Canis lupus familiaris: one gene and its partner. The protein of the gene in region 1 purifies or fractionates together with the protein of each later gene. This does not show direct contact. Links are inferred from orthologs where the notes say so. Each region holds a gene or a part of one and is shown on either strand. Other genes may lie near its edges.

The links.
Region 2: the proteins of EZH1 (region 1) and AEBP2 purify together in Homo sapiens (affinity purification with mass spectrometry; 3 studies listed by BioGRID and IntAct, with this or other methods). This does not show direct contact. The link is inferred for Canis lupus familiaris from reciprocal best matches to the Homo sapiens genes EZH1 and AEBP2.

The regions. Positions count from the first base shown.
Region 1 is NC_049230.1:20,146,832-20,150,647, reverse strand, and holds part of EZH1 (histone-lysine N-methyltransferase EZH1), read right to left. Parts: intron 2,743-3,816; coding exon 2,622-2,742; intron 858-2,621; coding exon 681-857; intron 1-680.
Region 2 is NC_049248.1:18,429,781-18,434,077, forward strand, and holds the start of AEBP2 (zinc finger protein AEBP2), read left to right. Parts: upstream 1-1,402; 5' UTR 1,403-1,493; coding exon 1,494-2,164; intron 2,165-4,297. UniProt on the Homo sapiens protein: Acts as an accessory subunit for the core Polycomb repressive complex 2 (PRC2), which mediates histone H3K27 (H3K27me3) trimethylation on chromatin leading to transcriptional repression of the affected target gene.

The DNA of each region.
Region 1 (3,816 bases):
TCAGTGCCACCTGGACTTATCTAATAGGCTACCAGTAATAAGGAAATCAGTTATGTATACATTAATGACAAAACCCACAGTCTAAGATAGAAACTAGAGGGGAAAACAGGAGTTTTCGTGGAGAGATGTGAATATTGAATTCATAATGATGGTGCTGAAGAACAAGAGAGTGACACTATGTCCCTGGACATATAATTAAATAACACAGAGCAAAATTAAACATTAAGTTATTAAATATTAACAACATGGAAAAATGCTTATGATAGAAGATCAAATAAAAAGGGATATAAAATTGTGTGTATATGTGGCATGATCCCATTTCACATAATGTATATAAACATCTTGATTTATATATATGCTTTAAAAACTTTGAGATGTAGTTGACATATACTATTATATTTATTTTAGATATGTGTATACGCATACTCTTGGTGTATATATATGTATATATACATATACATTTTTTAGACCTAGAAGGAGATATTAATGCCGGTTATTCCTTGGTAGTAAGATTACAGGATAATTATATTTCTTTTTTATAACTTTCCATATTTCCCAAACACACTACTTTGTTTTCCTTTTAAGTGGGCCAAATGAGAAGCACCAACAGCCTTTAATAACAATTCTTTCTGTTTCTCCATTCTTTCTTCTCCCTGTCACTTTCAAAATGGAATATTTACCTTCAAGAGCATGTCTTTTTCTCTTTCTTGTTACTGGCAGATCTTCTTTGTTGTCATCTTGCTTTCCATCTGAGGTGTCATTGTGCCCTTCCTCCTCATCATCTGAGTATTGATTCAGAGCATCTACCAACTCCAGGAATACTGCATCACTAATCAGGACAGATCCAGGGATCATCTCTGGAACATAAAGATTAGATGGATTAGCAATGATCATTTCATGCTCCATTAATCCTTCCAGGAATTCCAGTATTCACTCCTGAGGCCCAGAGAGATGACATATGTACATTTTTATATGAACAACCAGGAAATTACAATAATTTGATTTGTTTTTAGAACTGCACCAGTTCAGCTGGCTAGAGTGGGAAATCCAGTTATATAGACTTTATTTGTACTAGGATAGCTCATTCCTCAGTTACAAATCAACCTGTATTTATGGTCCAGAATCTCAAAAAAGTGTAAAAACAATACAGATGGAACAGAGAAAGAATTATAACATCAAAATGTACTTGGTTTTGCTGCTGATGGCTTGGTAATGACTTCTCTGACTCAAAACACAGCATTACCTTCCTAAAATCATACTGTATGGGGTTACACTACAGCTTAGGACAGTCTTTGAACACTAGGAGGCACTGTGGATAAAACTGTATTTTCAACAGTACCCAAAAGGGTCAAAAGAGCTGGTAAGGCCATTGGTTTGCAAAGCCATGGGGAGTCTCTCCCCATCTTCCCACTTCTTACACACTAGCAGCCTTTTCTAGAATTACAACTAATCCAAATGACCTGCTTGCAACAAAGTCAGAATATTATACACAATTTTTGGGAGATCCAGGGGGTATCCAGATCAGAGTAGAACAGAGAGATTATGCTCATTGCCATTCTAAGAGAAAGGGAAGTGAAGAACAAAAAGGCTTTGGATGGACTTAGGGAAAACTCCTAAGATCATACTTCTCTGTGCACTAAACTTTCTCTCCTGCTACTGATTACTATATATATAAAATCCTTTTATGTCCCAACTCCCTTTTCTTCTTAATATACATTACTTTAAAAAATTATATTTAAATTCAATTTAGTCAACATATAGTGTATTACTAGTTTCAAGAGTAGAATTTAGTGATTCATCAGTTGCATATAACACCCAGTGCTTCCAACTCCTTTTATTTTATTTTTTTTAAAGATTTTATTGATTTATTCATGAGAGACACAGAAAGAGAGAGAGAGGCAGAGACACAGGCAGAGGGAGAAGCAGGATCCATGCAGGGAGCCCAACTGGGACTTGATCCCAGGTCTCCAGGATCACACCCTGGGATGAAGGCAGGTGCTAAACCGCTGAGCCACCTGGATTGCCCTTCCAACTCCTTTTAAAATTTAACTGAGGGGGTACCTGGGTAGTGCAGTCAGTTAAGTATCCAACTCTTGGTTTTGGCTCAGGTCATGATCTCAGGGTTGTGGGATCAAGCCCTGCACTGAGCTCTCAGCTCAGCATGGAGTCTGCTTAAGACTCTCTCTCCCTCTCCTTCTGCCCCTCCCTCTATTCTCTCTCTCTAAAGTAAATAAATTTTGGGGATCCCTGGGTGGCTCAGAGGTTTAGCGCCTGCCTTCAGCCCAGGGCCTGATCCTGGAATCCCAGGATTGAGTCCCACATTGGGCTCCCTGCATGGAGTCTGCTTCTCCCTCTGCCTGTGTCTCTGCCTCTCTCTCTGTGTCCCTCATGAATAAATAAAATCTTTTTTAAAAAGTAATAAAGTAAATAAATCTTAAATAAATAAATAAAATTTGACCAAGGGCATTTTTAATATAAAGTTTTTACTCTTAGCCATGTGATGACATTGAAATATTCTTCAGCGAGTACACATGAGGCAGCAGGTAAGAGCAAGATGATTATTTACCAAAGAAAGGGCACCACTCTAATAAAGTTTTTCCCAAAGAACCCAGCACCACTACCTTCTTCGCCGTGGACTTTCCCATCATAGTTATTGATCAGCTCCTCAATGAAAGTCTCATCTTCTTCTTTCACCTCATCTCCCATGTAGGGAATATTGCACAAAACTGTCTCATCTTCTACCTAAAATCAAACCAGATGTAATTCATTCCATGAGTCCACTATGCAGCTCCTCTTTCCTTTTTAATGGAATCTTTTGTTATTAGGCCTTTTTTGCTGCTTGAATTTCCTGAAAACATTTTTGACAGAGTTTCCTGCATTTTTATAGACTGGCCATTCTGTTTTGCCACCAAAACCTCAAACTGGAAGGGGCAATGCTACTCTTAGGGAAAAATGTCAGCTTAACTACTTGAGGATATCAACTATTAAATGTTTAGCCTGATACTAACATTTGATATTTCCACCAACATCTAGACTCTGACAGCACACTTATTATTCACATCTATTATCTAATTTTATCTACTAAATGTCATTGTAAAATAGGTACAAATAGCACTTAAACAACAGCCTAAAAAATCTTCAATTCTAATTCTTTTAGTAAGTGGAGACATAAATGAAAAGGAAAGCTTTCCAGAGTGTAACCTGCAATATAACTAGAACAGTTAGAACAAAATCTAGGCAACTGTAAAGTTTCTGGATATTCTCTTATACAGACTAAGACTAACTTCCAATAATCATAATAAAAAACTATGATTATAACTCATGTCCATCACTCAACTTTAGTGGGGACCTAAAGTTAACTGCAGCATGAGCTATGAATATTTACTGGCTAAAGAAACAGTATTAACAGATTTTTGTTACTGTTGTTCAGTAGAAAACATGATCATTCTTAAGTCCTCAAGTATTAAGTAAAATTACAGTGAAGTTTTATTCTAAGATAAATTCTAAGTTTTATTCTAAGATCCCTTCTGTAAACCGATATCCTATTCCAGTCAGTGCAACTGCTGTCATCAGGCAGATGATAAGCAATGACAGTATTTAGAGATGACTGATCATCAGAATCACAACTAATTCTAGAAGGAGTCAGCATAAACGCCCAGATGAAAGGCTCAAGGATCTGTGTGCACCTCTGTTATCTCGGTTGCTTTCATGGCATCTTGCCTTTAGGGGATTCAGAAAGGATTGCTCCATCAGCAGGAAGATGTCAACCTGTTTAAGCCTCAAGTGTCTGACTTAGACTGCATTTAACTGCATATG
Region 2 (4,297 bases), on another chromosome or scaffold:
TCTCAGGGTCTTGAGTTCAAGTCCTGCCTTGGTCTCCATGCTGAGTGTGGAGCCTACTTGAAAAACAAACAAAAAAGTAGTGGGAACTAGCAGTTCTATCTCTGTAAGATGCATTTCCAACAACATTTTACTTCTGTGTTTAATACTTATGTAAGTATTTAACGATTTATTTATTATTTTAGAGAGAGAGAGAGTCCAGGCAGGAGCGCTGAGGGGCAGAAGGGAGGGAGAAAAAAAGAGAGATTCCTAGCTGAGTGAGGAGCCCTACCTAGGCCTCAATCTGAGGCCTGAAATCCTGACTTGAGCTGAAACCAAAAGTCAAGGCTTAACGGACATAGCCAGCCACCCAAGCGCCCCTCTTACATAAATATTTAAAAAAACGTGCTTTGATCATTCGAAATAATAAAGCTTTAAATTCTACGATCACAAGAGATTCAAACACGATCCTTAATTTCAATTTATTTCATTTTATTACAAGGGACTAGAAGATGATCAATAAAACAGACATAAAAGTCTATTATTAGGATAAAATTCTGGAGGGATGTGGAATGTAAATACGGAGGATAAAGGAAAGATGGAAATTGCCCAAGTATCAAAGAAACCGTATTTAAAAAAGTGGATTTGGTGGGCCTCAAAACTGCAATATTTGGAGTTGGCCGGCTATATTTAAAAGTGACAATGATAAAATATTCATAACCAGTTGGGGGAAAAAAAATGTAGATGTCTTTTTCAACTGCAGAAGGATGTACAGAATTTGGGGGACTCGTTAGCTACAAAGTCTGAAGATCCTGAGCAGAACCCAAGTCTGCAGGGAGGCCGGCTGAACCATTTCTTGGGGGGCGTTGGAATCACGGTTGGCCCCAAACCTGTGGCTCCACGTTGCGCGCGCGGGCGCAGCAGCTCGCCCCGTGTTCCCCGTTTCCACCGTCGCCAGCACCTCCCCTCTGGGCCGCGCAAGAGCAGGGACTTGTTGGATTCCTGGCTCGTCGCCTGCACACGGGGGTGGGGGTGGGGGTGGGGGTGGGGGGGGCGGACGCTCCCCAAACATCCCCGGAATGAATGACTTTATCGTGAGAACTCGGAAGGCTGTTAAAATCCCCGGCCAGCGCTCCAGCTTTCGTTCTGCGTGTCCCGGCGGCCGCGAGGCCCGGAGCAGGCGTGGGAAGACCCCGAGGAAAGTCTGAGCCCTCGGCGGGGGGGCGGGGCGGGGCGGGGCGGGGGCGGGGCGGGGCGGCCGGGGGCGGCGCCACCTCGGGCCTCCGCGCAGGCGCGCAGCCGTGTCCGCGTGAGTGCGCGCAGCGGCGCGCCTGTCCCCGCGCGGGCTCCGTAGCGCGTGTGCAGGCTGACGCAGCTCGCGGGCCCTCCTCCTGCTCTGCGGCGGCGGCGGCGGCGGCGGAGTTTTGGGCGTTTGGGAGGGGGCGAGCGAGGGAGCTAGAGTCAGGAGAGGGAGGCGGCGGCGGGGAGGAGGAGGAGGAGGAGGAGCAGGCGCCGCCATGGCCGCCGCTATCACCGACATGGCCGACCTGGAGGAGCTCTCTCGCCTGAGCCCTCTGCCCCCCGGCAGCCCCGGCCCGGCGGCGCGGGGCCGGGCTGAGCCCCCCGAGGAGGAGGAGGAAGAGGAGGAGGAGGAGGAGGAGGCCGAGGCCGAGGCGGTGGCGGCGCTGCTGCTGAACGGCGGCGGCGGGGGCGGCGGCGGCGGCGGCGGCGGCGGAGTGGGGGGCGGCGAGGCGGAGACGATGTCGGAGCCGAGCCCCGAGAGCGCCAGCCAGGCCGGCGAGGACGAGGACGAGGAGGAGGACGAGGAGGAGGAGGACGAGAGCAGCAGCAGCGGCGGGGGCGAGGAGGAGAGCAGCGCCGAGAGCCTGGTGGGCAGCAGCAGCGGCGGGAGCAGCAGCGACGAGACGCGCTCGCTGAGCCCCGGCGCCGCCAGCAGCAGCAGCGGGGATGGGGACGGCAAGGAGGGCCTGGAGGAGCCCAAGGGACCCCGGGGCAGCCAGGGCGGCGGCGGGGGCGGCAGCAGCAGCAGCAGCGTCGTCTCCAGCGGCGGCGACGAGGGTTACGGGACCGGGGGCGGCGGAAGCAGCGCGACCTCCGGGGGCCGGCGAGGCAGCTTGGAGATGTCGTCGGACGGGGAACCCCTGAGCCGCATGGACTCGGAGGACAGGTCAGTGCCCGGGAGGGTGTCCCCTTCCCTTCTCCTTTCTGCGCTCGTGCGCCTCTCGAGGGGGGCACGAGGGGACTTTCTTTTTTTTTTTTTTTTTTCTTAAACTGAGGTCCCCCTGCGCCCCAGATCCGCGGCCCCTCCCCCCGGCTCCCAACTCGGAAATCTCTCCTGCCCGCCGCGCCCCTCTCGCCGCGGATGGCCGCCCGCAACTCTCCGACCGGCCCCCCCCAACTCTCCTTTCCCCGCCCTCTTTCCCCCCTCGGCTCTGCGCTCCGGACGGACCTACGGACAGCGCCAACTCCGAAACAGCCCTCAAAGTAGGCCCCGATCCCCTGGCGGAGCTCCCGAGGGCCTCGATGCTCACACCCCGGTACACAGGGTTCGCTCGGCCCCACCGGTGTTCGCGAACACTTGTCAGAACTGTAATTGACAAGTGTTTTCCAACATGGCTGGTCTCGCCTGGATTTAACAGAACTTCCTTGTTCAGGGAGGAGACCCCCCCCCCCCCCCACCCCCCACTATCACTTTTCGCCACTTAGAAGGAAAACGACTGGCCTTTTGTAATTTGGTCAGTGCTTCTACAATTTCTCACGTGTAGTCATTATATACGCTCTCCAAAGTGATTTTGCTAACTTGTATTTTGCTTTGTGACTAAACGTGGGGAGAAAGTTTAGAAACACTTGTAGGAATTGTAGACGAGAATAATGGATTGATGTCCTTTAAGATGATGTGAGGGGATCAAAGAATTGGGAATCGTAATGAGGTACAGCCCGGAAGGCACACCATATTGGTATGTGGTTTAGAATCTTTAACAGGAATGTCATGATTTTTTAGACGGTGATATTAAAGTCGTGGATCGGAGAGATCTCTGAAGAAATAAGTAGCCTTTTTCTAAAGCTTGTTAGAAATAATATGAATAGGGATCCCCTGGTGGCGCAGCGGTTTGGCCCCTGCCTTTGGCCCAGGGCGCGATCCTGAAGATTCAGGATCGAATCCCACGTCGGGCTCCCGGTGCATGGAGCCTGCTTCTCCCTCTGCCTGTGTCTCTGCCTCTCTCTCTCACTGTGTGCCTATCATAAGTAAATAAAAATTAAAAAAAAAAAAAAAAATAACATGAATACAGTCGAAAATACGCTTCATGTTTTGGAGACATTACAGTTTATTGCATTAGTGTGTTTCAGTTATTACTTCTCATCACTTTGGAAAACTTCCTATTTTAACTAATTGGTTTTTAATGTACTTTTTTTTTTTTTAAACACAGAGACAACCATGTCATGCCTATTATACTGCTCCTGGCCTTTATTTTGACCATCTATTAATGTTTTGATGTTTTGATGAACAGTAGGATTTTTAACCATCGGTATTGATTGGTCTTTAAAAGTTTAAGTATTCTGAGGTTTTAGGAATTCGGATTGGTAACTAATAAAACGAACACTTTGGTTTATCGTTAATGTTACAAGGAATACAAAACTCTAAAAAACGTGAAAATATAGCACTAGATTCAGTTCGACATTTACTTTAGAGAAGAAAATACCTTGGATGGATGGATGGAGTAAAGTAGACTGTACAAACCCTAGAGAGACTGTGCTGAACTATGTAGGTATGGCAGGAAGGAGAATCTTTAAGATGATTAAAAATTGATGTGACCCACACAATGAAGCATATGTTATTTATCATTTTAGTATATCCTCGTCCATTGGTACCAGCAGATATTTGAAAGTTGACATCAGTTTATACAGTTAACATCTAGCACAGTTCTTCCATTTATCCAGCGTGTGTGGGCACACACAGGTTTAGCACTGCACAATTTAAATGTCTCTATTCATTCTCACAATTCTGGTGCAAGATAGGAATTACTTTGACTTCCATTTAACAGGTGAAGCAAATTGTCTTACTCAAAAAGTAAGTATGGAGTGGAAGAGCTGGATCCGAACAAAGGTTCTCAAGCCTCCTACTTCCACTTCACAAGAGTTAGAATACTCAACTCAAATAACAAGCTGTATGTGCCAGGATTTTTTTTTTTTTTTTTTAAGTTACTATTTGCTACATCCATTTAGGAGATGAACTATTATTGGTCAAGTAATATTTCAGGAAGTGGAGTTTTGGCTTCATTTCATATTTATAAGATAATCA